Linked DNA regions of Canis lupus familiaris. The protein of the gene in region 1 purifies or fractionates together with the protein of each later gene. This does not show direct contact. Links are inferred from orthologs where the notes say so. Each region holds a gene or a part of one and is shown on either strand. Other genes may lie near its edges. The genes, in order: ITGA3 and CD9.

What was found.
Region 2: the proteins of ITGA3 (region 1) and CD9 purify together in Homo sapiens (affinity purification with western blotting; 3 studies listed by BioGRID and IntAct, with this or other methods). This does not show direct contact. The link is inferred for Canis lupus familiaris from reciprocal best matches to the Homo sapiens genes ITGA3 and CD9.

The regions. Positions count from the first base shown.
Region 1 is NC_049230.1:26,009,808-26,025,010, forward strand, and holds the start of ITGA3 (integrin alpha-3), read left to right. Parts: upstream 1-6,921; coding exon 6,922-7,127; intron 7,128-14,688; coding exon 14,689-14,816; intron 14,817-15,135; coding exon 15,136-15,203.
Region 2 is NC_049248.1:7,310,929-7,326,139, reverse strand, and holds the start of CD9 (CD9 antigen), read right to left. Parts: upstream 8,025-15,211; 5' UTR 7,926-8,024; coding exon 7,860-7,925; intron 6,545-7,859; exon of another isoform or gene 6,438-6,544; intron 1-6,437. UniProt on the Homo sapiens protein: Integral membrane protein associated with integrins, which regulates different processes, such as sperm-egg fusion, platelet activation and aggregation, and cell adhesion.

The DNA.
Region 1 (15,203 bases):
CATGAGCAGGGGTGGGAGTGGGAGGGTGGGGTGGAGGGGCAGAGGGACAAGCAAACTCCCCCCTGAGCAGGGAGTCCAGCACAGGACTCAATCCCAGGACCCTGAGATCATGACCTGAGCCCAAGGCAGATGCTTAACTGACTGAGCCACCCAGGCACCCCCAAGATTGATTTTGAATACAGTCAGGGTAGGAAATCCTCTGCACCCAGATAATGATTGTCTAAGAGAAGAGAGCAGAAAGGGCACAGTGTGTGTCCCCATGCCAGGTGCTCCCCAGGTATGATCTTGGTCACTCTCCCAGCTGTCCCCAGAACAGGGCACGATCATCACCTCTTTGCAAAGAAACTGAGGCTGATATGACCAAAAGTGAGTTGGGACTGACGTGCATTGGGGTAGCAGATCCCACTGCCTGGCACCCTGTCAGCAAGTGTGACTGTACAGTGTTCTGAAGTCTATGGGAGCAGAGAGGAGGGTAGGCGTGAAATGAATGAAGTGGGGACCCCAAGACAGCAAGAACAACAAGAGAGGTAGATGGCAAAAAGGACAGAACGGAGGGCCTGGAGTGCCAGGTATACGTGGTGAGTGGCCTATGGGAATATCACCCATAGGGGTGATTATGGGGACTATCATGGGGACTATCTCAGGGGAGCTTGCTGTGGGCCCAGCCTGACCACAAGGATCTAGGCTGCCATGGCCAGGTTGACGTCAGGTTGAGGCTAGTGCTTCTGGGGAAAGACCTCCAAACACGGGTTTGGAGTGCACCCCTTTGGGGTTCCTTGTGGACTCTGGCCTCTTTGTCTCTCTCCACCTCCATCCTGGGGCCTCTGGCAGATTCCCCGGAGGCCCTGCACATCCACTTAAGAGACCCTAGAGGTCTTGCAGACTCACGAGCAATCCCTGCTACTGACCTCTCCTTGTGTCCCTTGCACCCGCTGGCCACCAGATCCTGCCCCCATCCTCACCCAAATACCTCTCAAATGAAATTGAGAGATAATTCGATGTCCACAGCTGCAATAGGGCAGGTCCTCATCCTTTCTCATGTCCCTTCCTGCATTAGCCCCTGATCAGTCTTTCAAATCCACAAAGGCTCTTAGCTCAGGGCCAGATGCAAAGCCATCCATTCCCTTCAGTTCTAAGGCCAGCAGGCTTTCCTGATCATGTCCCTTACAGCCTCTGTGCTTGCGATTGCTGCCCTGCTGCCCTGCCCATGGCACCTCACTGGGCCTGTGCCCTTGTGTGCATCTGCTTGTCCTCCCCCATCTGTACCCCTGGGCACTGTCTTGCTCAGGAGTCAAGGTGGGCTGTGTCCTATGTCCACGCTCCGCCTCCAAGCCACTGTCAGGAGTGCCGCCCAGAGCAGGTCTGCCACTGAGGGTTTGGCCTCGACACAACTCTTCCCTTCAGAGGAGTCCGGGACACAGTGGGGAAGGAGACCTCCAGAGGGCAAAGGCCAAGACTTTGGGCATCGTTTTGCAGGAAAATGAAATCCCTTCCTCATTGCCCCATCATGCTAACAGTTAACCAGAGAGGGCAGTCCCGGGGCCTGTCGGGAACCCCTGCCCGCCCCTCCCACCCCCATGAAATCATTCTTTGTCCCAGATCTGGCCTTTTCCTTCCCTCCCCCTACCTTCATGCAGCCTGAATCATTTATCCCCCCAGGGCCCTGGTTTCTGTGGGCGAAGCTGTAACATCCTGCCCCGTCCCTGCCAGGGAGCCCACGTGCTACCCTGCCAGGTAGAGCTCCTTGCCTTTTAATAGGAACATTCAGGAACAAGGCCTTAGGCCACAGGAAGGTTGCCTCATGGTTAGCACTTCTGTGATCCTGGCAGGAAAGGAGAGGGCCCTTAATGATGAAGGGAATTTCTGCTACCTCCCAGATCAAACTCCAGAGGGTGCACTGCCTCATCCATCAGACTCAGGGACCTGAGAACAGGTCTAGTGCCCTCCCCCTGCTGCACCCACCACCCCAACCCTCCCCCCCCTTCCCTGGTCCTGGCTGCCCTGTCCTCTGCTCCTTAGCTCCCTAAAAGTTGCAAGCAAATTTCCAATCTGGGGTAGCTGGTTTCACTGCCCTGCTTCGCTGGCCAGCTCACTGGTGAGGTCCATAGGGAGGTGGGTGCTGGGACGAGGAACACGGGCAGGGAGGAGGCTCCAACCTGTTACTCAGGGCCCAGCTGGGTCCGGAGTGGGTGGGGTGGAGGAAGTGAGTCAGTGGGCACAGCGATTCATGCCTCAGAATTCTGACTTTCCTTTTCAACTCACTGAGCCAAGACATTTGTCCCAACAGGATCCCAGGCCTGGGGAGGGGACGGGGGGCAAGAGGATATTTATGAGACAGAGTTGGCCTCTCACTCACCTCTATGGAGTTCTCTGTTTTAGGGCCATAAAGAGAATGTGGCCAAGTGGATTCGGCTGGACATGCGGTGGGCGAAGACCTCCCATGTCCGAGGGACTGTCATGAGTGCTAGAAATGCAGGTGTACTCAACAGTGAGCATAATTACCACACAGTGAGGGACTTCTGGGCCCCGGTTGTGCTGTGTTCCCACAAACCTGTGAGTCTGGTATCTATAATCACACTGCAAGCCCAGACTAGAAGTCATTGTAAAGGCTGGAAGATTCGAGAATGACTGCGTGTCACCCCCACTGCGCCCCCCTCCCGTTGCCCCACAAGCACCAGCCCTAAGATACAACACGGTGCATGTTTAGGTTGTTTACATGTGAGAGCTCTCCGAATGTGGGGTCAAGATGAGAGCTCGGCCTCCCCGAAAAATGTCCCACTTCATCTTGGACACCCCTGGGGGTCCTCAGCTCTGTGCCTGTACGTAGTAGGGTGTCAGTGAATGTTTGAGGCTGACGGATTCTGAGCTAGGGACTGGGCGCCTGCCCTGTGGTATCTAGGTCACAGGAGAAAGGAAATCTGATAAACCCATTCATGCTTCACTGCTCCTCCTTCCCTCCTCAGTAATTTGCATTTGCGGATCAGAGATAGTGACCTGAGTCTTAATTCAATAGCAAAGATTTGGTCCACTTGGTTCAACAAATCTTCAGCGCCCTGGGACACACGGGATGCCGGCTAGGGAATAATGAGAACTCACATCCAGCCCTTTCATTGCACAGATGAAGAAATCGAGTTTTGGAGGAGGAAAGTAACTTGATGAAGGTGAGAGGGCCGAAGAGAGCCTGCACTCAATCCACAAGGCACGCCGATTCTGCTCCATGTTTCTTCTCCAGCTCCCTGTGCACAGCCCATCTGCACTCCGATCTTCCTGTGAGAAGTGAGGGAGCAAGCAGTGTAGTTCAGGGCTCCTGGAGACTGAGATGTGGGTGGCGGTTACTCAGACGAAGGCTGATGCAAACCTAGCAAGCCCTGAATAAACCGAGGCACCTTTACAGAATCTTGACGTTACCATTATTGTAACTGAGAAAACTTCACCCCAAACCAGGTCCCAACTCTTCTGCTTTCTTCTCTCCCTCCGTTCTGATATTCTCTCTCCATCTTGCTAGTCCTTTCCTTCTCCCTTGTCTGGATACTCCTCCAAGAAGCCTCCCTGCCTCCACAACAGAACCCACAGTTGGCTTGTTGTCACAGTCTCCTGCAGAAGCAGATGGACCCCACCCAGGGTTTTGCTTGATGTCAAGACTGATGACGCCACACATGCCAGGAGGGTATGAAAAAGTTTACTATTTACATAATTGAGGTCTCTGGGGAGAGCAGGGCTGGCCTTTTGAGCAAGGTCTGAAATGGTGTGAGAGAGCAAGAAGAGATTGCTTCACTGTGGCTAGGGACTAAGCAAGGTGAGCCTTTATGCAGGAAAGGGGTTTGAATCCCCCTTGGACACCAAAGGAGGGAACATGGCCCCAGGCTCTGTTATCAGCTGATCCAGGTGTGGGGCCTAGAGGGAGAGGAAGAGGTGGGGCTTACGGCTATCAGCAGTCAAACATAGAAAAATGGACTCTGATTCCTTCACACATGTTATTCCATGTGCCCTTGTTTCTCTCTACCTTTCTAGGTGAGGCTCTTCTCCATGGAGAAGAGTTGACACAATAAAGTCAGCTGATGGACGAGATGAGGCTGTGGATGATTTGTCACTGGAACCAGGGGACTTCAGACCCTTGTCATGAACTTTGAGGTTTCTCCTGCATCTCTTCAGCTCAGAGACCTTTCCAGGGTCCACATCTCCCAACATCCCTCCTCCAGCTCTGTCTCCCCCCACCCCCATCTATCTGACACTCCTCCACATTCCTTACCTCGAGCCCTCCCCCACTCCCGGGCGCCCTGCTCCCACTCCACATTCCCTCAGGATACTCCCCTGGAGTGGAAAAACCATCCCTCATCCCTTTCCTGCTCCCAGCCCTGGGATCGGACATGCTGGTCATTCCTGTTTGGGATGGCCCAAGAGATAATGGCTGGCATACAGCCCATCTGTCATCACAGGATTCTCAAAGCTGTTTCAGGTAGGACCCCTTGCCCACACTGAGCATCCACCCTGGCCCCTGCTTTCCTTGGCCCCTGCTGTCTCCCCTTCTCCAGAAACAAGGTGGAGGACCTGGCAGCCAGCCCAAAGGAGAATAAGGTAACTTCAGGTCAGCTTTCTATGCCTTGCCCCCAGATGTCTCCTAATCCCTGCACACCCTGGGCCACAAGGCAGACCACGGGGAGAGGTTGGGTGGCTCTGGGAGTCACAGCTCAGGAACGTATGCTGTCCTAAGGGCAGATAGGGATGAGCACCATAGACCACGCTGTTATGCAGTTGCTTTTGTTCAGATGCATCTGGCTATCTAACCAACATCTGCTCGGGACTCGTCTCTTACAGACACAGGTGTGGTCAGTAGCTTCCAGTGCTAGCTCTGCCTGCCTCGAGCTGCCTGACCTTGGACATCCAGGTTTCCTCATAAGTCAAATGAAGATGATAATACTGACCTCGCAGGGAGGACAGGAGGATGAAATGAGTCTTCACATGAAACAATTCATACACTATAATGTTCAAGTCCCCCTCCAGGTTCTCAATCTAATTCTGTACTCCAGAACTCCTTTTTCTTTTCCTTAGGGAGGGTGCCAAATTGTACAAGTTTAGGTCCCCCCCCCAAACTTAGACCTGCCCTGAGTAGTGTACAAATGTTAATGATTAGCACAAGTGGTCAAGAAGGACTCTGAGGTCAGATAATACATGATGAAAATCCAAGCTGTGTGGTCTTAACCAAGTTGCTTAGCCTTTCTGAGTCTCAGGTTCCTCATGAAGCAGATAATCCTCAAAGATTATTGTGAGGTTTGATCTAATAATCCTCGTAAAGTACTTAGCATAGTTCCTGCTGCATTAGCACTTTTTCCTTTTTTTTTTTTTTTTAGCATTTTCTACATAGTAGTTTTCATTTTATTATTATAAACTTCCAGAAACAGGGACTCTAAATCAAACTGCAAGAGAGTGAGGGCTGAGGGCTGAATTTCTGGGCCAAAAGAAGAAAGTTCCTTCAGCCTGGAGAAAACAATGTTCAGGGGAAGTGGGTCTTTGTACTTGCAATATGAAAAATCTGAGTTAGATTCAAGAAAGTACATAGTGACCTCTTGAAGTTCCCTTTCAATTAGATTCTTCTGAGGATGACCGGGCCTTTGGGCCCTGCCCACCTACCTCCACCTAGTGCCACTCACTACACACCTACGGAGGCTGGCGTCCCCGCCCCATCTCCAAACACTCAGGCTGAGCCCGGGTAGGAGGAGGAGGAGACATTTGGGATTCTGCTGTGCCGGGCCCTGAAGGCAGGAGCGGATGAGATATGGGTGCAGTCTGGGCCCAGTTCCCTGGCCACACAGTGCATTCTAAGGAGAAGGGACTCATTTACACGCCGGAGGGTGTATGAGGGATACCAGAAGGCGGAGCCCTGTGGGGGAAGTGCTGTCTTGCTGCTCATTACAATTAGCAACGCTTGGTTAGTACCACTGCTAAATATCTGTCGGGCTTTGCCGAGGGAACATATCCAGCCCGGGTCAGGGTGGGTGGGTGCGGGCGGGCCAGAGAAGCACATCTGGACAAGGACAGCGAAGGGCCTGGGTGCGAGGAAGAAGGCCCAGAGACCGCCAACCGCCTCTCAGGGATTCACAGCGCTGCGGAGGCGAAGCCGGCATTGCCCCGAGCGGCGCGCAGATGTGGGCTCCCAGATGCGCCAACGCCGGGGCTCTCCAGCCGGCCCGCCGAGGTGGCCGCGCCGGGAACGGCCTTGCCAGCAGCAGCAGCGGCCGGAGCCCAGCCTCCAGACAAATCCCACCCCCGGCCCCGCCCGGCCAATCCATCTTGCTCGGGAGGTGACGCTTCCTAGGAGAAGCAAGGGGCGGAGAGGGGAAACCCAAGCCTTTGGGGGCTCCCGACAGGTGTTTGGGGGAGAGGGCGGAGCCTGGTCGGGGAGGATGAGGAGGGAGGGGCGGTGCTGCCCCTTTAAGAGGCGGTGGCGGAGCCGGGACCTTTTCTCTTTCCCCGGAAGGAAAGCGGAGCCCCGGCTGGGCGCGCAAGGTGGGGAGGTGCGGGGCTGGGCGTGGAGGCGGGGCGCGCGCGGAGAGGACCGCTCCCTCCCGTCTTCCTCGCGATCCACGGGTCTGCGTTCCCAGATCCGCCGCGGAGCCCAGGGCGAAGGGGGCGCGGCCGGGACGAGCCGGGGGCAGTGCCCGGGGCGGGGGGGCCGTGACCGGCGGCTGGGCAGGCGGGACGGTAGACCGGCGAGCCTCGGAGAGGAATCGGGGCGCGCAGACCCTGGGCGGACGTGACACCGACGCGGCTGAGGGCCAGAAACTTCGCAGCGCTGCGGGGCTCCGGGACGCGCCCGCCGGAGCGGTCTCCGCGGTCCCCCGCCGAGCGCGCGGCAGGTGGACGGGTCCTGGCTCCCAGCGCCGGGCGCCCCCGCCCCCCGCCCCCGCCCCCGCCCCCGCAGCCATGGGCCCGCGCGCCCGCCGCGCCGCCTGCGTCCCGCGCCCGGTGCTCTGCGCGCTCGCCTTGATGGTGGCCGCCGGCGGCCGCGTCGCCTCCGCCTTCAACCTGGACACCCGATTCCTGGTGGTGAAAGAGGCCAGGAACCCGGGCAGCCTCTTCGGCTACTCGGTCGCCCTCCATCGGCAGACGGAGCGGCAGCGGCGCTACCTGTAAGTGAGGCGGGCGGGGCGGGGCGGGGCGGGGCGGGGAGACCGTGCGCGCGCCGGTGCGGATCCGAGCCTGGGCGCAGCCTGGCTTCCAGGCCCGCGGGCCGCCGGCTCTAGTGACCGGGATTAAGGGGGCGGGGGCCTGGGCAGCCCTTCTGCGGCCGAGGTCTGGCGGCAAGTGGAGGGAGTGGGTGTGGGATGGGGTCAGCAGTCATTAGCAAGTGCTGACCGGCCGGAACCTGCCTAAACTCAGCCCCTCAACCCTTTAAACCTCTCTTGAAAGTGGAAGTGGGGTCCCCGTTTCCCAAGCCCCCTCCCACTCTGTCGACCTAGTATCTAATCTATGAATACTTCTCTCCAGGGCTGGGACCTGGGGAAAACTGCAAGGTAAACACTCAGTGGAACCCTCTATCCCCTTTCCTGGGAAGAACCTGTGGGCATGTGTGTTTAACACCTCCCCCCTCCCGCCCGCCGGCCTTTACACCTTGCGTTTAGTCTGCCTGCCTGCGGGCCATGCCAGCCACACCCTCTGCAGAGCCAGACTGGAGGGCCTTCTAAGGGGCTTGGCGCTTGGCGGTTGCAGGGTGAGGTGATGGGCGAGTCTGGGCATTTGGAGCTGTCCGGGAGCTCCCTCTGACCCCTTGAAGATGGGGAAGTAGAGGGAGCTGTCCGGACTCCTGCTTGGTCTCCTGCCCCCACCGCACCCCCAGCAGGGACGCCCTCCCACCAGACATCTTCCCCACATTCCACAGATTCATGTTGAATCTTCAACCCTGAGTGTGTTTGTTTTGGTTTGAAGAGGGAAATGGTGTTTTTCTCTTCTGTTAGACTTCCCCCCCCCTGACAGCTGTAAGGAGAAGGAAGGGGGGAGAGCTACCCACAGGAGAGAGGAGAGAAGGAGATTGCATCCAGCTGTTTGTTTCCTACCCTGCTTCCTGCTTCCCGCTGCCACCGGCACTCTCCTGCCTAGAGTCCAGGTTTCAGGGATTTTTCTTCTGTAGGCTCAGGTGCTGAGGTTGACAGCCAGGGGAAGAAGGCCGCTGGGGGAGGGGAGGGGAGGCTACCCCAGGAGAGAAGGTGTTAGGAAAGGTCAGGCAGGCCCCACCTAAGTCTCTGGGCTGGGGGACCTACCAGACAGCTATCCCTACCTGGTGTCTCACTCCACTGAGCAAGAGGACATGGTCTGATACAGGGTGTATTGTAACCTTTCTCAACTCTGGCTGGAGCCTGCAGAAACTTGAGGAAGCTTGGAATGTCCAAAGTCCAAACTCTGCCCCAGCCTTGGCCTCTGCCCTGTCGGCCCAGCCCCTGCCCAGTATACCTATCTACCTGGGCCTCCATCTAGCTTCTGCAGAGGCTAAGGCCACCACATCCTTCCCAGCGCAGCACCATGCCCTCGGCCAGCCTTTCATCTTTTGCAGACCTTAAAAGTGACCATCAGCACAAGTTTCTGTATTGGCGCTTTTTCTGCCCCAGCCCAGAAAAAGATTTTCTGACTTTCCAGACTGACTCTGCATGATATAAAGCAATGCAGTGTAAAAAGAAGATCAGGAAAGCAAGAGTAAATAATGAAAAGCTGGAGTAGATAATGGGCTCTGTAAACCCCGCTCCCCATCCCCCCTACCCACCATGTGACCTTGAGCAAGACATTTCCCTTCTCTGGGCCAGTTTTCTCCAAAAAGGGGTTGGACCTGGATCTATAGAGTCCTTCCTGCCTCTGTTGGCCTATAAGAGGCAGCTTGCGATTGGAGAGAGAGAAGAGGCGAGGCGCCGGAGTCCCACTGCCACATTCCAGTCTCGGAACTGTCACTAATACCTGAGTCTTAACGTCTCTACATGTTGGCGGAAGGAGGCGGGGCAGCATGCCTTCTTCATGAGGTGCCAGTGGGGCTCTCTAGTGAGACAGCGTGTGTAAAAGGCTCTGTACATGCCTGTGTCTCCGGGGAGCAGTTAGTGCTCTTGTGCTGAAGCCAGGCTCTTACTACCCATGTGCCTCACCCAAGATGGCTGAGCAGAGGGGCTTTACCTTTCTTCCTGGGTGGCTAGAGATGGCATTAGACCTGCTAAGAGCCCAGGAGGTTCTAAAGCTAATGACCCTTGGAGAGGCAGGAAGTTCTAAACAGAGGTCTGGGCCATTCTCTTGGGTATCCTGTCTTTCCCCAGGGTAGTTCTATATCTTGGTTCATCTCCTCTTCTTGCTGAATTCTGCCCCTTGGCCCTTTGGGAGAGCCAGCTGGGCCATCTGGTCTTAGTTGCAGCCAGCTGTATAGCCAGATGTGAACAGCTGCCTGAGTGCACAGCTTAGGGCAACCAACAAGTCAAGTCTTATATTCTGTTAGTCTACAAGTCCTTTTGGAAGAGGGGAGAGGTTTCATGGTCATGAATAAAAACTCTTAGCCTGGGGCTCATAGAAGGTTTGCAGGAGGTGCAGGGACCCCTGAAAATACATGTAAAATCATGCATCTGTGCGTTGTTCTGCGGGCAGGAGGAGGGGAAGAGCACAGTTTTCATCATATTCTCAAAGATGGCCTTATTCTAGAAATGGTTAGAAACCCAGGTGTGGACCCTCTTTGTTCCCTATCTCTTTTGTCTCTGGGCTGGAGTTCACCCCAACCCAGGCCCCAGCTCCCCTGGCTCTGGAAGCAAGAAGTGAGGAGCAGGCCCAAGGCCCCAAGAGCTTTGGGCTTCTGTGAGAGGCGTGAAGAGCCCTGGGGAAGCAGAGGGACTGTTCCTCTGGGCAATGGTCCTTGCCCCCAGCCCCTAGCCCCTGCTCTGTAGCTCCCTCCTGAGAATCCAGTTGTCCTGGTTTGGTCTGATGCTGTGGGCTAGGGAAGATACCACTGGAGCTTTCTCTCCCCTTTGCCCTAGCCTGGAAATGAGGGTGTCTGCGGAGCCTGGGGCGGGGGTGGCTGTGGCTCCCGGCAGATGAGGTCATATCTAAGGTAGGTAGGAACCGGGCTTACCTGCTGTGCTCTCCTAAAACATGTTTCCCTGGGCAGGGCAGGCGCCTGGCAGCCTCCAAGGCTCGTGCTGGAGGAAACAGACAGAGCAGCTGTGGCTGCAGGCAGAAGGCCTGTACCCCGAGTGCCCTTCTCCATTCCCTCCGGTGACCAGCCCAGGCCAGGGAGCTTTAAATTGGGGAGAAGGCAGGGGAAGACTCATCTAGTAGAAAAAGAAGTGAAAGGGGGTTGGCCGGAGCTGAACAAAGGAGGAAGATGTCTGTTGCAGCATGAGGGATTGAGGCTAGATAACATGAAGAACGCCCCAAGGGATCAAACATGGAAAAGATACTAAGGAGCCAGCAAGAGGGAGAAGAAATGAGAAAAACAGCCTTGTTTGGGGACATGGCCTCTTTCTCCTGTCCTCTCTCATTCTCTTGCTTCCTCCAGCCTGTTGCTCTGGTTCTAGGGCTGAGTCACCAGTGGGGAGAGGGGGCTGGGTGGGCAGAGTAAGGGCGATGTGGGGGGAGGATGGAGAGGGCTGCGGCTCAGCTCACTGGAGCAAGCAGCCTCTGGGGAGTTGGCTAATTCGGGCAGCAGGATGGGCACAGAGCTGGGATCCAGCATCTGAGAGCTGCCCCCACCCCCACCCCTGGACTCAAAACTGTAGCAGTGCCCTGCGCCACTGCCCCCCGCCCCCGCCCGGCCTGAGGAGTAAGGCATGGGGCGTGTGGTCTGAATGCTCGCCCCTCTGGCCCCCCCACGATAACTAAAAGCTTCCCAGGCACCTCCCTGATGAGGATCCTGGGAAGTTGAATCTTACAGGCAATTTCTCTGAGCATCACCCCACCCCAGTGTCCCCCAGGGAGCCTTCTTCTCTGCAAGGAGAGCCAACCTGGTGTCTTGAATGCTCCTTAGCTCCATTCCCCAGCCTCCTCCCATACTGCCGTTTTCAGCTTGGCTGTTGCATTAGCTTTGAACACCAACCCCCACAGCCCCCCACCCAAGGAAGAGTGATGGAACCGGGTTGAGGAAGTGCTTTTATGGAACTTGGAGTTCAAGGGGCTCCCCAGAGGCCAGGATGAGCTGTCTGGCTGGAGCCAAAGAAGAGGCTGAGAAGCTGTCAGAAAGCCCTTGAGAGGTCATTTCATCCATCCCCCTAGCTCCTGGAGGGGTCCAACCCGGCTCCAGGAGAGGGGAGGTCAGATCTCCTTTCTTCTGTGCTTCAAGAGCTGGGCAAAGCATCCTACTAGCCTCCCTTCTGACCACAGCCTGGAGGTTGGACTCCGTGGCGGTCTGGGAGGGGTCGGCTTCTGGACTCACTGATCTGGACCGGACCCAACGGCAGGCAGCAGAGGTGTTCCTTTGCATATATGTTTTACATTTCACTTACATGCCAGCAAGGTCTCTCCCACACCTGGCTGCAGCTTAAGGAAGCTGGACCTGACCCTCTGCACATGCCTTTCCCCATCTAACTCCCGGTCCTCTGGCTGTAGACCCATTGGATCCCGGGCTGGGAGCCAGAGGGCCTTAAAGGGCCTCTGAGCAGGCCAAGTAGAAGCTAAAAATACTCCAGGGGGGCTGGAGGAGGGGGGCTCCTTTGGAATCTCTGGGGAGGGAGGGGCCTGGGATGTGGGGCTGGAATTAGGGCACTCGCCCTGCCCCATAACCCATCAGTGGGCACAAAGCTGGAGCAGGGTGAGGGCTGAGTGGGTATAGATGGTAAAGGGGTTTATTTTTTTTTTAATATTTTATTTATTGATTTATTCATGAGAGACAGAGAGAGAGAGAGAGGCAGAGACACAGGCAGAGGGAGAAGCAGGCTCTATGCAGGGAGCCCGACGTGGGGCTCCATCCTGGGTCTCCAGGATCAGGCCCTGGGCTGAAGGTGGCGCTAAACCGCTGAGCCACCCGGGCTGCCCAAAGGGGTTTATTTCAACCCCAGTTGCCATTCTTGTTTGGCTTTGCCTGCTCAGTACCCCAGGAGGCTAAGAGGAAGGGTCCCTCAGCCCACTCCCCCTGAGATGAGCAAAGCTGAGAGGTCATGGCCACCCTGCTCCTGAGCTGTCTCATGCCCCAACAGCTTGGTCAGGGCTGCATCTGGGGCAAAGCCATACTTGCACTGCATTTCACACCCTGGAAAGCAACCAGGGCTCCCCAGGGACTCCTTGCCACCCGCCCCCTTAGGCCTGGACCTGTCCCTTCAAATTCATGATAGCCAACACTCAGCCTCTACCTCCAGCCAGATCGGGACAACGACGCTAGAACACACCCCACCTCAGTGATTCCACCGCCACGAAGTACTGCTTAGGTCCCCTCCTCTGCTCCCTGTAAATAGCTGAACCAGTCTGCTGTTTGCCCTCTGTTCTAGACTCACTAACCTGATGGGGCAAAGATTCCTGGGTGCTTGGAGGAACACCTGGGGGTGAGCCAGGGCCAGTCCCTGATGCCGCCAGAAACTGGACAGACAGTGCTCACGTTGGCCATGACTTCGGAGTCAGAAAGCTCTTGTGAAGAATGAACCTGTTTGTTCCCCTCAACAGCCCTGGAGGTTGATGGGACAGCTGCTGTTCCCATTTCACAGATGAAGCACTTACAGCTCAGAGACGGAAAAAATTGCCCCAGGAGGCAGAACAAAGCCGAGAACCAGGCCCTTAGGTTCCTTTCCCACAGGCTCTTGCTTCCCTCTCTCACCTGTCAGTGGCGCCGGGGCAGATGTCCATGGGTGGTCAGGCAGCGGACTCACCGAGCACCCTCTCCAGCCGGGCAGAGGGTGACTAATGGGGCCTGGCTGCCACCCTGGTGCCCTGCCAGCTTTCCCCCAGCCCCTCCTAGCACTGCTCTGCTTGGAGAAGCTGCACCCTTGCCCCCAGGGATGCTTCCCAGGGTGAGCTCTGAGCTGAGATGTGAGGCGCAGGCAGAGATCCCACCCCTTCCCAGCACCCCAGGCAGTGCATTCCTCACAGCCAGTGGGCGGAGGCACCCCAGGTCCCGGCATGCCCAGGCCCTGCCCTGCCCACTCCCTGGAGCCCTCACTCACAGGTCCCAGGCAGGAGTTGCAGGCGGGGCCGTTGCTGTGTACCTCCAGACTCTGGCAGGAAGCCCAGAGCCTCGGGGTGATAGTGTTGCTGGAGCTTGATCGAGGGGTACCTAGGAGGTACCTGCCACCCAGGAGGCTGTGTCCATAGGATCTGGCTGGCAATCCTAGCAGAATGTCTAGAGGCTACCAGGAGGTGATATCCCGAGAGCAAAGGGTGGTAGAGCTGTCTTCTCAAACTGAGGTGCACAGTACTTGGGATACATGTTAAATATGCAGGTTCTAGGGCCCTACCCCCAGATGCAATGCAGATGGTCTGTGGTAGGCTGAGGAATTTGCCGTTTTTTAACAAATATGCTGGGGATTTCTCATACTGGTGGGCCAAGGACCTTGTCTTCTGAGATACTGCTTCCAGGCTGATCTGCCTTCCTCTCCTCTAGCCACCTGTCTGGGATGGGGTGGGTGGCGAGGGCCCTAAGCACCCTTGTAGGAACTTGCTTTGCAGTCATTTTCCCCAAAGATGGGTGCTGGGCAGGTTGGGGCCAATCCCCACTCTCGTGCCCACCTGCCAAGAATGTGGCCCTGTGGCCCCACTGTCCAAAGGGCCAGGTACCCAGCACTCCCAGCCCTTGTATGCCTGTCTCAGGGTAGTGGCAGTGACGTGCCAGGGAGAGTAGACCTCACGCAGGTCACTCAGGGGCCTTGCTGGCTGCAGCTCATGCGGCTCCAGTTTTGGGGACACCCACTGCATTCAGTTGTCATCTCCTGCTGCCATTCTTCAGTGCTAGCCCCTAGACCTAGGAGGGACCCAGGCCTCCAGCACTGCCCCTACCCCCTTCACGTGTTCTCAGGCCGCTCTGGAAGTTGATCCCTGTGCGGGGATTCCCCTGGTCATTCTCTCTTCCCGTCTACCTTCACCTCAGAGGCCAAAGCATTCCTTTCAAAACCCAGATCTGACCATGTCATTCAGATGCCAAACATTCCTTTCAAACCCCAGATCTGATCATGTCACTCCCTTGCTTAAAAATCCCTTCCCAACCTGCCCTTCTGGGCTCCCCTTCCACCCCCCCCCCCCCCCCCCCCCCCCCCAGGTCCCCCTGCCCCCTGGGTCCCTCCTCCATGTTCCCAGCTCCTGCTGTATAAAGAGCCTTGCAAATCCTGAGTCACCCTGCTTGCTCATGCTTCCTGCCCTTGCACATGTCATACCTTTGCCTGAAGTGCCCTTCCTTCCTTTCTCCTGGTGAGCCCTGGTCATCATTCTCAGACTCTGACCAGGATCCCCTCTTACGTGAGCCTCCTAGACTACCCCCCCAACACTGGGTCTGGGCAGGTTTGCACCCTGCTTTCCTCTCCCGAGGCCCTCACTGCAGATATCTGTTTTCTTGCCTGCCTCTCCTGCATTGGCCACTCCTGGAGGGCAGGGGCCAGGATCCATTCATCTCCCGATACCAGAGCCTGGCACACAGCCTGGCACCAGGGACGCAGCAGACGCTCAGCAAACATATTGAACAGAAAGTTGTTTGCAGCAGGCTTTGGGAAGTCTGAGCCCAGGCCCACCAGCCTCATTGCCCCCCACCCCCCACCCCAGGCTCCTGGCTGGTGCTCCCCAGGACCTCGCTGTGCCTGATGGCTATACCAACCGGACCGGTGCCGTGTACCTGTGCCCACTCACTGCCCACAAGAACGACTGTGAGCGGATGGACATCTCAGAGAAAAGTGAGGGAAAAGGCGCTGAGGATCAGCGCGGGGACAGGAGCCTGGTCGGGGAGGGGGGCAGGTAGCACAGAGGGTGACCTGGAGGAGCTATCAGGCTTACCTGGGTTTCTAGTCTTCTTGTCCAGCTGGGGGGAGGGAGCTCTAGGGGAAAGTGGGACTACATGGGATTTGTAGAGCTGAGATTCCTGGTGAGCTGGAGGAGGGCAAGGGAGGGCTGCCTACAGTAGTGGAAAGCCAGGAAGACCAACTCCTGCCCACTGGAGGCTCCAAGCACCAGGAAGATGGGTGCCCTGGCTCATGATCCCTCCCATGCCCACAGGTGACCCTGACCATCACATTATTGAGGACATGTGGCTCGGGGTGACTGTGGCCAGCCAGGGCCCTGCG
Region 2 (15,211 bases), on another chromosome or scaffold:
AATACCACACATTTGTTTTCCATTGTGTATGCCTAAGATGCCTGGCGATTACAAACACACACACACACACATACACACACACACACACACACACACACACACACACGCTTTCTCTATCTCTTTTGTTTATACACTTTAGCCATGTGGACCAGCTAGCTTTCATTCCATCTGTGGGATTGGTTACCACTTGCTTGCATGGCCCTGAGTGGTGGGAGATGCCCCTTTGTTTATATCTTTTAAGCAATGCCATGTGGTGTGTGGATTGGCAGTGTTCGCAATAGGCACAGCCAGCACGGCTCAGTTCAATGGCCCTCCTTCCCCATCATGGGGTGTTCTGAGCACAAAGCCAGGGGAGGGGCAAGAGCTGAGGTCTCCCAACTGCTGTGTCCAACCTATAATCTATCGTATCCCTTTGCCATGATCTCTGTCTTCATTTCAGGTCTCTTAATTATAGCTGCCATTTGCACAAGGCGGGTTTCAACTTATATGCAGATTTTGGGGATAAATTTAGTACAGTCCTGTAAATGTGTTTTCTCTTATGATTTTCTTAATAACATTTTTATTTCTCTGGATTGCTTTATTGTAAAAATGTAGCATATAATACAGTATACAGAGTATGTGTTAATTGACAGTTTATGTTATTGGTAAGGCTTCTGGTCAACAGTAGGCTATCAGTAGTTAAGTTTTTGGGAAGTCAGAAGTTATAAAGAGATTTTTGAGTGAGTGGGGATTGGTGCACTGTTCGAGGGTTAACTGTGTGCTCCTGGGCAGCCAGCACTTTGATACTTGCTATGTCCCACACCCTGCCTGCAGCATTTCACTTGTACTCTTTTTCACAATAGACCCACCAAGTAGGCAATATTTACTTCCATCTTTTAGATGGGAAGACTTGGACACAGCAGCAGCTCATCTGAGATCACGTAGCAAATAAACAGCTGAGCAAGAACTTGAACCCCGGACAGTATGATTGCAAAGCCCAGTTTCTCTCTGCTAAACTGTCTTTTTGATCAGTGTCGTTAATTTCAGAGTCAGAATTTTGTACTTTTGTCCTGTCTCCTTCCCGGCCATATCTGATCTCATTTCAAAACTGTACCTTCTATTCTTAAAGGTCCCAGGAGAGCCCACCTGGAATAGCAGAGGGCTCTACCTTCTCAGGTTGGGAAGGCACCTGCAATGGCCACCTGGCCTGGAGGTGTAACCTGACCCTGGTCTCTCTCTGAGCCCGGCTGCATGACAGACAGAGTTGAGAGAGTTGAGAGAGAGACAGACAGACAGACAGAGATAGACTGAAAATGCATTTCTTCCTGCTGGCCTCTGGCCCAAGAACCTCATCCACACCCTTGCTGCGTTGGCCAGAAAGTCAGTGTGGACACAAGCACTGTTCTGGGAAACAGATTCCCCAGAGTAACTTAACATATCTTCTTCTCATCCCATCTTAGCTACTGGTGCAAGTCTGGCTGCCCAATGGCCACCGTCCTCGTGTCCCCTGTAGGAATGGCCCCAAGGGGAAGGCCAGAACCTCTGCCCTTTCCCCATAGCACCATCCTGCCAGTGAAGGGCATGACCATAAGCCTGTGTTAGAGCCCCGGCTATGGAGTCCTGGGAGCCACCTGCCCCCAGAGGATAATGCCAGCTTCTCATACTAACAGGTGGGCCCTCCTCAGCACTAGGAGAGGAGCTAATTTGTTTGAAATAAGCTTTCTAGGTCTCTTAGGGATTATCTGTCTTAGGGAGTCAGAGCTAGAATATGGTGGGAGTGGGGAAAGTAGGACCAGAAGATGGCCTGAGAGGTGTTCACTGGAGCCTGGAATACACACTGAACATAATAGTAACATGATTAAGCTTTGAAGGCTGACTTTCCTAACAGAGCCAGCAAAAGTCACTGTTTCAGCATCCCTGTACAATGCCCGGCATGTGGACTGAACAAGAAGGACCTTTAAAACCCAGATTTCTGGGGCACCTGGGTGGCTTAGTCTGTTAAGAGGCCTGCATCCGGCTCCCAGTAGGGAGCCTGCTTATCCCTCCCAGAGCTCTCTCACTGGCTCTCCCTCTCTCTCAAATAAATAAATTCAGATCTTCAAAAACAAAAACCAAAAAACCCAGATATCTGATTTTTCTCCAAATCAATAGTCCTCATACCTCTCTACCCAGGGATCTTTGCTAGGATCAAATGAATCCAGGCCCGTCTCCATCAGAGGGCTTCACCTACCCTTGCTACTCAATCAAACTGAATATCATCTCCTCAGGAGCCCAAATCCCTAAACAATCCACACCTCCCCCCTCCCTTTCTAAAGTTCTCAAGGGGAAGGCCAGGAGAGGTTGGCTGATTTTAGCCTCTATTTGGTAGGGAAAGAGGCGGAGGGAAAGTCAGAACTCAGTTCTTCCTAAACAAAAACAAATCACCCAAGCTATGGGAAAACCCTAACCCAAGAAGCAAAACTTAGCTAGAAGCTCATAAAGTCAGATTCTTCATGTGGACTGGAAATACAGAACACTCATTAAATTAATCGAGAGTCAAAGCCACTCCTTGGGCAATGATTAAGCTGAGAGTCAGAGCAAGTATGGGTGGGGAGGCTAGCTCTCCAGGCTAGGCTGCTCTTGATCATCAGGGAACTTAGCTTTTCTCAAATCACCCCCAGTCTCTGGGTAGTGGCGAGGCAACCCACTGCTCATGGCTGAAACATGGGATTCAGAACAGAGAAGAGGCTGCCTGGAGACCAAGAGAGAAAAACTAATATGAGGTGTTCATTGGCCTTCAGAAAAAAGCCAAAAAAAAAAAAAAAAAAGGCATATCATTTTTCTGGAGGCAGGTCTTACTGATTTTGTAGAATTCCCTTAAAAAGTAAGTTAAGGTCCATGAGTCTAGGACGATGGCACACAGTACTTAAAAACCTATTCAGAACTAAGTACTTTTTCGGGGTGGTGGAGGTGGTTGGGGCAGTAGAGGAGGGGAGCTGGAATTACCGGATAGATGTAATTATTATAAAATTATCTCATCTGGAGACAGGATACTGCTTTCCACAGCTGCATGCCATCACTTGATGGAAAATGAAAATGTCCCGGGACCAGCATTACTTTTTCCACAGAATGCAACAGGCAAGTGATCTGCAGTCAGACTTCAAAACCATAAATTAAAAAAAAAAAAAAAAAAAGTATTGTTGAGATTAGCCCTTCTGGTCTCCTGATTTCCATCTGTCCGTTGCAGAGGACATTTCCGAGGAGTTGAGAACATGGGGCCAACAGGCTCTTACCCAGAGTTTCAAAACCCTGGAACAAGGAAGTATGGAAGAGATGGAAAAGACTGCTTCTGCACCTCTGTGGTGGAAAAGACCTGCGGGGGGGGGGGGGGGGGGGCAACAGCAGTCCCACTGACCCCCCCCCACCTGGAGAGTGGGGAACGCAGAACAAAAGCACACACCTCCTCAAACATCACTCTCTTTTCCTGGCTGAACGGACACAGGTCTGTTGAGAATCCTCCTTGTCTACCAACGGGACAACAGGCCACAGAAGTCACGATAACCCATGGCCTCAGGTCCCTTATCCTGACCCACAGCCAGGTGCACCCATACCCAGGAAAGAACAGTTAAGGCTCCTGTTTTCTAGAAGAAAAGGTGCTTTTGCAGGTTCATAGTGTAACTATGAAATTCCAAACGGTGCGACCCAAAGCCACACCTCCTTATAAAATTGAATCGTACCGGAAAACAAACACACAAGTCAAACATGGGACACACAGCTCTGTGTCTAACAGAGAAGATTCACATCTAATACAGAAGGGTGTGCGGAGGCCGACTGAGGTCTGAAGCCACAGACCGACTCATTTAGCTGAGTTGGGTGCTCTGGCAAGGAAGGCCCTCCGTGGGGCTGCTTACTAAAGTGGTTCAAATGCCAGGGCCTCTTCCTTTGAGTACAGAAGAGTAAGGTCCAGAATGGTGCCATGGGCCACTCTGAAAGGAAAGGGGTAGAGTGAGGAACCCCACTCCCCACAAAATCAGGAGTCAGAGCTTTGTTGTTGACAACCATTACAGAACAAAGTGAGGGGCAAGCCATCAAGATTCTGGGGAGGGGAGCAGTCCTATTTTCCTTAGCAGATGTAGACACCTGGCCTCGCCTCACCCCACCTGTCCCCAGACCTGCCGGCCTCAGTACAAACACGGCCAGCTTTACCAGGGCTCCTGCTGTCTGTGTGCTAAAGGTGGAGAGCCATTTTAGGCAACAGTCCCAACTGCTGGCTCAGCCCAACCACCAAGGCCAAGAGCTTCTGGAGAAAGCAGCCCCTGCCACTTCCCTGGGGACATCCTCTGCCCTGACCCCAGAGCCTGAGGTCTTGGGGTCTCTCTGCGCTGTGGCTTATTTTCATAAGTGGGGCTGCCCCACTGTCAAAACGTGGTACCACACATAAAATGGAGAGGGTGTCCTGAAGTGGGAATCCCGGAGGTAGGGTGGGGATCATGAGGCTGGCAGCGATTCAGGAAGAGGAGCAAAGGAAGGGGTAGGAGGATGTGTGTGGAGTGTGGATTCCTGCCTACATCCCTGGTTTCAATTTCTACCCTCCTCTGGGAAGTGCTCCCACCCTCCCCACTGCCTAAATGTACTTCCAGCTGTGGAGTAACATCGGCCACAGCTGGAAGTTTATGGTGTCTGGGGCGAGGCTACTGTGCCAAGGGCATCACACACACTCTGTCATTTAACCCACAGCAGCTCCATGGGGTAGACACCAGCTCCAGCCTGGTGATGGGGAGGCTGCATCCAGAGCAGCCCCACCCAGGGCGACAGAGGGAAATGTGAAGTTCACAGGAGAGAGACCAAGAATCAGGCCCCGGAGGTAAAGGCCCAATGATGCCAGGCTCTGAGGACAAGTCTTGGTAACAACCCCTGTGCATTCCCATCTCCTGACTCAGATTTTGGATTGTGTGGCAAAGTCCCGAAAGGGACGGTTTGCGACCATTTGTTTCAACCCGTTGGTTTTACAGATCAGCAAACTGAGGTCTGGAGCACACAAACCACCTCCCCAAGGTGTTCAAGTGACAAGAGGACAGAGGTAGACCAATACTCAGGTTCTTGTCCAGATTTCCACTGTGTTTTTTGGGAGCAGGGGGCGTGGGCAGTGGAGTAGGTAGGGCAGTCTAGAAGAAAATACAGAAACAACGGAGAGCCAGGAAGTTAGAGTTGTGGGGATGTTGGATGAATAGACTGGTTGCTGGTCTGGCTGTGAGCATCAGAGGCCCTACTTGGGGAGGCCAGAGAGGGTAGGTTTAGCTGTCACCCAGGGTCCCATAGGGCTGAGGCCAGGGCTGGGGCAGAGGTATACCATCTTTCCATCCTGATCATCCCACTACCACTGAGGTAGGCTTCTTCTCTCTGGGTCCTGCTAGGCCACCCATCTCAGCATCCTTTGTTCATGAGCCACTGGCCTCACAACTCCTGTTTTTCAAGGCCCACATCAGATCCCAAATGCCAAGTGTATAAATTCCTGGTCTTGGGAGAAAAAGGTAACTGGTGCCATCATAACAATCCAACCAGGTTCCCTTTAAAGATATTTTTGAGAGCTTGTTTCTACCCAGCTGACCATGGCAGCAGGCTAGGAGGGGAAGTACACTGGACTTTAAGCTAGTAAGACCTCCCTTCAAACTTCTGATGCTATCCTGCCACATGTCCCTGGATAAGTCACTTTACCTCTCTGGCGACTAGTTTCCTGGTCATCAGTACCATGGGGATAATGCTTCTAGCTCTGGCTTGTATCATGGGACTTGGAAAAGGCCTTTGCAGACTGTAAAACGCTGCACAAGTGGATCCTTATCTCCTTTATTCTATCATTTCTACAAGGACCTTGACACAGGACTACTGAACAATCGTTACTTCAGAAAAACGTAGCTTCCTTCCCCAACACCAGCCCATTACCAGGTCCCCTTGTTGATTTCATGATGTAGACCGAAGAGGGCGGGACTCAAGTGTGGTTCGGTCTCTGTGATTCTGGGCCCCTCTTTGGTTCTCCGTTTCCTCACTGTGGATACGAGGGGCGGACTGGATGATCACTAAAGTCATTCCTAATTCTGGACCCAAACATTTCCAGATTCAGTCATGTCCGTTTTAGATGACATAGCTGACCAGCAGCGCCTAGCCCAGGCAGGGGTAGCTTTGAGTATGGGTGGGGTGGTAGGCTGGAGACAATAAAAGACTGAGCAGACACCAGAGGAGCCCTGGAACTTCCCAACAGACTGTTGCCTGTGCCACAGGGCAGATGGGGGTGGAGGGTTGGGTATGAGGGCCTATGGGAGTCTGTGGTTCCTTCCCTGCCTGAAAGCCTGATGCAGCCTAGGCAGATAGATGAGGACGATGCAACAGACTGGTGGGTGAGATTGTGCTGGGGAGGAGAGAGGAAGAAGACTCCCCAAAGGACAGGAGTGGGGTGGGGCTTATCCGCCTTCTCACATTCTTTTCTGGTGCCAGAGGTTGGTGAGGGGAGGAAGCCAAGCCTGGGAGTGAGCTGGCTGGCTGGCTGCTTGTGGGAACACCAGGAGGAAAGAATGCCCACCGCTGAGGCAAGGTAGGGGTGGGTGGGTTCCTTAAAACAGGCCAAGTGTTGGGCAGGGGCACGTCTATGTGCCATCCTCACTAGAACATGTGTTGTGTATGGTGACTCTTGCAAGGGCAGGTCAGTCTCTTACTGGCAGCTCCTGAGAGAGAATTAAAATCTCAAGAGGTTTGCTCCGAGGTTCCTGGGGACCCCAGTGACCAGCGCCAGGGGAGCAAGGTACCGTATAGTTTTTGTTACAAGGCTCTGGTGGCATGCCCGTTTCTAGAGCCATCTCCCTGGTGGCATAGGGGCTGGGCTGCCATTCCAAACTCCCTGACTGCAGAGGAACAAACACTGTCCATCTGTGTGCAGGGGATGTGGCCCTCAGACTCAGGACACACAGGTCCCCTGTTCCTTGCTTCTTTCTGTCTCAGGGTGGTCTCTTAATCCCCCCAAGAGAAGGCGCCGAGGGGGCATCCCCTTTGGCACTGCCTCCATCAGACTTTGCATTTGCAGAGAGGGGTGAGCACGGCCAGCAGTGGGAGTCGGGCAGCTCCCGGCCTGGCCTGGCGTCCTCTCCTCCTCTCCGGGGGAACCGCCACTCTCCCAGGCCGCGCCTAGCCACTGGGTGGGCTGGCCTGGGGGTGTCCGCGAGGCGGGAGGGCCCGGGCTGCCAGGGGGCCGAGGGCACCTGATCTTCCCCCGGAAATGGAGAAACACAGGACTGAAAGCGCCAACGGGCAGCTGCCTCGCCTCTCCCCAACTCTGAGCTCTCTCCGCTTCAGATACTTATCGCCTTTGGGGGAAAAAAAAAAAAAATCCAGACAAGCTAGTCTTTCAGGTAGTTTCGAGGGAGTTCCGACTTTCCCACGGCGGCTCAGAACCCGGCCTGCAAGCACCTCCTCGACCGTCGAGGGGGTCCCCGACTCTCACTCAGGTCGGGGTCCCAGGCCTCGGTCCTGCAGACGTGCCATCAGCTCTGGGCTGAACCCTCCCCGCCAGCGCCCGCATCGCCCCCTCGCGGGACCCCACCAGGTCTCGAGCCGTCCTGCCCCCCCGCCCCCCGAGGGGCTCCGCTTCTCCCGCCGCCTTCCCCCGCCTGCACTCGGAGGGGCTGGGAGGCGAGGGGCAGCCGCGGGCCGCAGCGCAGAGCCTCAGCGAGACGGGGTCCGCGCCCCCCCCCGCCCCGCGCCCCCGCCCGCCCCGCCCCGCCCGGCCCGGCCCCGGGGAGGGCGCAGCTGCGGCCGCGGCGCCCCGTGTCCCCCGCTCGGCGTCCCCCGGCGCGGCCAGGTCCCCGACGGACAGGTGGCGCCGAGGAGCGCGCCGGCCGCTCGCCCTCACTCACCCAGAAGACGAAGTTAAAGCCGAAGAGCAGGTATTTGATGCACTTGGTGCCTCCTTTGACCGGCATGGCGCGGGCGGGCTGGCTGGGCCGGGCTGGCGTGGGACCGGGACGCGCGGCCGGGACGAGCGGCACCACACTCGGGGCCGAGGCGGCGGCGGCGGCGGCTGCGGGCGGGCCTCGGGGCTGCACTTTTAAAAAGTGCCCTCCTCGCTGCGCGCGCCCGCCGCGGTGCGCATGTGCCGCGGACCCCGCCCCCGGCCGGCCCGGCCCGGCCCCACCTGCCCCGCCCCGGCCCCCAGGCCGCTCCCGCCCGGCTTCCGGGGCTCCCGACTCCCGCCCGGCCCCCCCCCCCCCCCCCCGCCCCCCCCCCCCCCCCCCCCCCCCCCCCCCCCCCCCGCCGGCCCGACCCCTCCTCCCAGCCGCCCCGGGATCGCTCCGGGCTCCCCTCCCCCCGCCTTCACCTAAGAGCTCTGGGGCGCCTCGCCCTTCGGTGCGGGCCTTGCGGATTCTGGGCTTCCCGCCCGAGCCCCCCACGTTGGGAGCCCTCCCTCGGGGTCACTGGGGTCCAGTCCCCCCACTCAAGGCAGGCTGGCCGCGGGATGGGGACCCCGTGCTCCGAGCTGCCCGTGAAGGGACGCCGCCTGGCCTTGTCCCTCCCTGAGGCGGCTCCTTGCAAACTTGCTTGGCGGAGCCCACCCTTGCTCGCACGTCGTGCGGGGGAGCAGGAATCAGAAGCTGGCAGTCCAGGTGGGAAGAGGGGTTGGAGGCTTGTAGGAGTAATTTTTCAAATGTGATTACCCAACAGTAACAGGGCTGGGAGTGTCGGGTGGTCCTGGAGAGCTCCGGGGCCTTGGGGTGTGCGTGCCCGGAGGGGAGAGAGCGTTTGTAGCCGGGCTCCGGCTCCTGCTCTTGCCTCTACTCCACAGCACCCTCCCTCTTGCCCCTTGGCCTCCGATGCTGAGCTCTACACCTCTGGATGCTGAGTTCTGAGCTCGGCTCTCCTCAGCTCAACAACTTTCTGTAACTCCCCAGTGTTCAATGACCCAAGGCGAAACTGCCCATCTTGCATTCTGTCCTTTGTCTTGTGTCCGTGCCCAGCACCGCTCTACCTGGACCACGCCGCCCTCCTCAGCTCCCCGACTCTGACTCTGCGTGGCCTAGCCCTCGCTGTGGCATGTGGTGTGTGCCCTCTGGCTGCCTGGCCCTACCCTCTTCAGTTGTAGAAACTATGAGGCTCCTCAAACATTCCTTTCCTGTTTCTCACCAAAGGATGAAACGATTCCCTCTTCTTTTGAAGTCCCCAAGCCCCTTTGTATCTTTTTTTTTTCAAAATGAAGTTTCCTTTACAAAAGCAAGAAACATCAGAAAATACCAAGAAGCAAAAAAAGAACATAACTCAAATTTCACCCACCAGAAATGGAGGGTGTCGCACTTTGTGGCTCTTATATTAATGCTTATGACCACTCTCGGTTGTCTCATTGATTCATTCAAAAACATTGTTCAGCATCTGTTCATAAGGGGCATCATTAGGGGCAGGAGCTGGGTGTCCACTGGTGGAGGGATTCAGGCAGCCAGACAATGGGAGAGAGTACTGTTCGGGGTCACAGAGATAGAGCTGGGGCTGAGGGAGCTCAAAGGAGGGGCCTCTGGCACAGGTTGGAAAGTGATGCTGCTGAGCCAAAGGAAAAGTCGCTTCACAGGAGAATCTTGGGCAAAGCTTGGGGCTGGAGCTCATAGTTGGGGGAGATCCGTGGGAAGTAGAGGTGGAGACCCAGCTGATGACATGACGGGGAGCCTCCCCTCGCACACTTTGCACTCTGAGGTCTGGGGCCCCTGAGGGGTTCAGGTAGGGAGCGAGTTCCATCTGCTGTGTGATTTAGGTTGATGGCTACCTGTATTTTAGGTAGTTGCGTGGGGGGAGGGCAGGAGGTGCAGGCGGCAAGCCCCTTGGATAAGGATGATTGTTTGTCTGTTGAGACCTTGGCACAGAGCTTTGAGGGATTACATGGAAGGTGACAGGGTGTCACGTGATGTCAGGGGCCCTACAACTGAGTAGTGTGAGGGGAGCATGGGACACAAAAGGTGAGGTGAGGACATGTGGAGAGTAGTTAGGAGGCTCTAAAATGGGTCAGGTGAGAGACAGAGTGAAGAGGATGGGGTGAGGGGGTGTAGGCTAGAGAGTGCAGCCAAACCAGAAGAGAGGACAGTGTGTGTGTCTGTGTGTGTGTGTGTGTGTGTGTGTGGGCAGGGGTTGGTGGGGAGGAGAGATCCCAGCCAGAACAGCAGGAGCTGGATTCTGGGGAACTCCATTCACGTGTTCTAATGCTTCTTGGGAGCCTACTGTGATGAGTAAGGAGAAGCAGAGAGACCAGGGTTCCCCTCCGTGTTGCATAATACCAAGAGTGGCCAAGTGGAGGAATTTTGGTAGTGCTTTGTCACTCACCCTAATCTAGTGTCCAATGAGGATGGTGGGGGCAGGCAGCGTGTGGGAGTGGTAGAAAAATCAGACAATGTCCCATTGTGCTGCTCTCAGGCAGAGGCCGCCTATCTAGAATCTAAGGAAAGAGGATTTTATCTTTTTATATTCTTCTCTCCTCTACTCCTCCCACCCTGCCCTTTCACCAACATAGGTGAGAGGAGTTCAGTAAATATTTAAGCTTATGATAGAAACTACTTCTTAGGGTAATGTGCATATTGAATGAGGTAATCCACTGAGACGGCTTAGTACAGTGCCTGACACACAAGTGTGCTAGAAATGTTAGCTATTGTTACTATTACTGTTCCTATTTATACTCCAGAAATAATGGAGGGGGCTATAGTTAAATTCCAAATTACAAGCAATCAAGGGAGTCCCTATAATGTGAGTGTGGAGATCTGAATTCTTGATCCGACCCATGGGTTTATTTTGGACAAGTCGCTTCCTCTCTCTGGGCATCAAGCTCCTCACCTGTAGAACGAGCATTTTGGATTAGGAGATGGCAGGGTCCCGTCCATTCTGACGATCTATGGTGCCTCTGAGCCAAAGTGTGTTTATTACAGGCAGTTAGTTCTACAGACAACCAGGAAGGGGAGAGATGGAAAAAATATGGTTTGCTTTAGCTGGAAGGGGAAAATCTGGGTAAGCCCCTGAGTCAGAGATCACATGGAGGCAGAGAGGGCTTCCAGACTTTGTGGTGCTGGGAGTGGGGAACGGTCCCTCCCTTCCCTCAGGGCATCCTGTTTCTGGAAAAACCCGGATTCAGGCTGCGGGTCCACTTTGGCTTTTGTGCGCCCCCTGGTGGTAAGATTTGAACCGTCGGGGGCCAGGCGGGCTAATGCCACACCCATCTCCCCGGGAGTGCTCATCCCTCTAGCCGCGGGAGGCAACCGCAGGACCCGCGCTCTCACTGGCCCCCAACGCCCTCCTGGCCACCCCACCAGGGGTCATTCTGGGGGTTCGCTTTCTCCCTGCTCCTGCTGCTGCAGCATTTTACCCTGCCGACCATCCCTTCTTTCTAGACAGTTCTCCCTCCGCCTTCCCAGTGCTGTACCATGTTGGTTCACTCCCTTCACTTCTAGAAACTTCTTCCCTGCTTCTCTTACTAAGTTCAAATGCCGTCCCTTCATGAAGCCTTCCTTGAACGCCCCGGTCTTTTCCTCCGTGGATTACCTTGTTTGCATCTCCCTCACGTGTGACTCTTGACTTTCCTCATGTTCTCTTGTGTGTTCTCCTTTTGGTGGTGAGCTCCTCTAAGGTATACTTCACCTGATGAACTTCTGTGTTCTCCGAAGCAGCCAATCCCTTGCTGGCGGGTCAGCGCCCCCCCTCCCCGACCCGCTCCCCAAAACCTGTGTGGAAAAACTGGAGGAGTGGGCCTTCCTCAAGCTTTGCTCCCTGCCATGTGCTCTCCTCTCAGCTCTCCGTGGGCACTCCCTCCCTCTCATCATTTCTCTTTGGAGCTGCCTCTCTCTAAACTCATCGTGTTATCCGAGGGCCTATTAGGCATTTCTCCTTTAATGGCCCTTCACATCCCAATCCCCCAAATGTGTGAGGATGTGTCACCTTGTACACCAGAGGGCATTTCATGCATGTGATCAAGTTAAGGATTGTGAGATAGAGGGGTTATCCTGGATTATGCAGGTGGGGCAGGTGTGATCCTGGGAGTCCTTATGAGAAGAGACAGGTAGGTCAGAGGTAGAGAAGGAAATGTGAAGGTAGAAGCAGAGGTCTGAGTGATATGCGGCCATGTGCCAAGGAATGCAGGCAGCTGCTTCCAGAAGCTGGCAGCAACAAGGAACCTGATTTTCTCCTAAAGCTACCTGAAAGAACAACTCATTTAAAGATTTTATTTATTTGACTAGAGAGAGAGAGAAAGAGAGAGAGAGAGTATGAAAACTAGCACAAGCAGAGGGAGCAGCAGAGGGAGAGGGAGAAGCAGGCTCCCTCCAAGCAGGGAGCCCAAAGTGGGGCTCAATCCCAGGACCTGGGGATCATGACCTGAGCTGAAGGCAGATGCTTAACTGGCTGAGCCCCCAGGTGCCCCAGAACAACTCATTTTAGACTTCAGGCCTTCAGGACTGTAAAATAATGTGTTATGTTAAGCCACTAAATGTGTGGTAACTTGTTACAGAAGCAATTGGAATTTCAAAATAAATATCCAGATCAGAGTTCATGACTTTGAGGGCCTCTCTGCTCCAGAAGCCATGCTTTTCACCCACTAGCTCCAAAATTCACATCACCTGTGACCACTTCTCCCTCCAATCCCATACCTGCTTCACGAATGTGAAGTATCTCTTGTACCACTCCTGGCCGTGACTGCAGAGTTGTCCAATTTAGAGATAAGGAAACAAGCATAAGGCAGGAGATAGTGACTTACAGCCAAAGATCAAGGCTTCAGGTCTTCTGCTTCCAGCTCCCAGTGGGTTTCTCAGCCTTCATTCCTCCCCCCCTGTAGGCCAGGCCCTCAGAACTCTTCCTAAGCCCAAACAACTGTCCTACCCTTGTCCTGACCCCCTGTCTTCACTTGTCCACTCTGCACACATCGCTCCACCCATTGCCTTGCACTGTCTCTGGGCTTGGGCTGCCCTGGGTTGCTCTACTCCAGCCGTACCTTTCCACTGCATTAAACACGAATAGTCAACGTGGGATCACCCACGTATAGTGGGCAGTTCATGAGGATGCCATGGGGCGCTGGATGAGAAGAGAGAGGTTGCAGGCCAGAGCACGCCATTCTAAAAACCCTTTGTGGGAGCGCCTGGGTGGTTCAGTTGGCTCTGGTTGTGCGTGATCTTAGGGTCCTGGGATCGAGCCCTGCTTTGGGAATCCCTGCTCAGCAGGGAGTCTGCTTCTCCCTCTCTCACTGCCCCTCCACCCTGCTTGTGTGCATGCTCTCTCTCAAATAAATAAATAAAATCATAAATAAATAAATAAATAAATAATAAATATTAAAAACCCTTTCTGAATGAATCTTTCTGCAAGCTCCCTTTCTGTGACAGCCACCCCTGCCTTTGTCCCCTGCCCCAGCTTCTTCCTCCCTTTGTGTCCAAGCCTTCTGTCCCTATGGAATGGTGGAGCCCTCACTTGGCATTTCCAGTTTGTATACTCTAATTCCACTCCCGCAGCTCAGTAAAGCGTCAAGTATTTCTCAGGATCTGTCCTGTTTAGAGACTAGGGAGTGGGAAGGAGTTGGAGGTAATGAATATTTAATATATTTTTGTCTTACTCCTAAAGCTTTGCTTTCTTCTTTCCTGCTCATGTTTCCTGCTCCCAAACCTCCCAACTCCCTTTGCATTTACACCATTTTCCTTAGCACTTTCATCTTCTAACACAGGGGAGACTTTTCCCATCTATGGTCTGCTTCCTCCTGCTGGAATTTAAACTCTACTGGAGTGGGTGGTTTGGACTGCCCTGTTTGCAGATGTGTCCCACGTTACTTGAACAGTGCCTGACACACAGTAGGTGCTTGATAAATATGTATCGATTGAACGTATGCAAAGCTAATGCTCCAGTTCTAAAATCATCACAAAAGCCCTCTTGTCTTAACTGATGGATATTTACACATCTGGGGTACTGTGTGTGCTCCTGCATCTACGCATCTATGTCTAATTTCCCACTTCCACCATCCTCAGCCCCAGCTCCCAGCTCCAGGCCCAGGCCCATCTTCCTCTCCTCCCCTGGATGCTGCTGATTGGGCTTTGAGGACAGTGGGGCCCCCCCATTCCCTGGTACCCTTGGTCACCTCAGTCTGCTCTCCCCCCTTCCCGTACTCTTGTAGAGATTTCTTTCTGGGGCAGCCCTGGTGGCGCAGTGGTTTAGCGCCGCCTGCAGCCCAGGGCGTGATCCTGGAGACCCTGGATCGAGTCCCACGTCAGGCTCTCTGTATGATGCCTGCTTCTCCCTCTGCCTGTGTCTCTGCCTCTCTCTCTCTCTGTCTCTATGAATAAATAAATAAAATCTTAAAAAAAAAGAGATTTCTTTCTGAATCATCCACTAGACTATTCAAACATTGTCCTGCATGATCATATCACACTTCATGCATCTTAAAAAAATAAAAATCTCCCCAACGAGATTATCAGCTCCTGTGGTACCCACTGTAGGTATTCCAGGGATACTCAGTGAAAAAATAGTCCAAAGAATAACACTTGGGTGGGCACATATGATGTGCCAGGGGTTCTTCTACCTGCTATATAAACTCATTTAGCTCACAGATGAGCTATCATAAGGTTGATAGTCTTACGATTTTTATTTTACAAACAGGTAAACTGAGGCACGAGTTGGTTAATTAACTTGCTAGGAAGCAGCAGAGGCAGGATTTGAACTCAGGCAGCCCAGCTCCAGGGTACATGTGCTAACCTGCCTCTCCACAGGAGAGGAGGGTGAAGGGGCTGCATGTGATGCCTCATGGTGGCCTCATCTTGAACGTGCCTCATGCCTCAGAGCAAGCTGACTCTCTGCATCTTAGGGGATGACCACAGGTGGTATTTGCACCTTGGCCTGTCTTTCTGAACCTCCCTTGCCACAGCTGTGGAGCTAGGAGACTTACTGCTTTTTCTCTACCATATTGAGCGGGGATGGCTGCTGACTTCTGTTCTGAGTGGTAGTTCTAGATTCAGGAGGAGGATCAGAGGCTGGACACAGGCTCTTCCTGGAGTGGCAGTGTATGTGTGTGTGTGTGTGTGTGTGTGTGTGTGTAAGACATGGGACCTTAGTACGTGGGTTCAGGCAGGTATGGACAGGTGAATTATAGTTAAGGTGAACCTGGCAGTAAGAAGCTTTCACAAGTGTCCACCTGAGAAGGGTTCAGAGCGGGAGAATGTTGCCACAGAGCCACTGCCTGCAGACTGTAAAGTCTGGATACCACTGCATGATATAG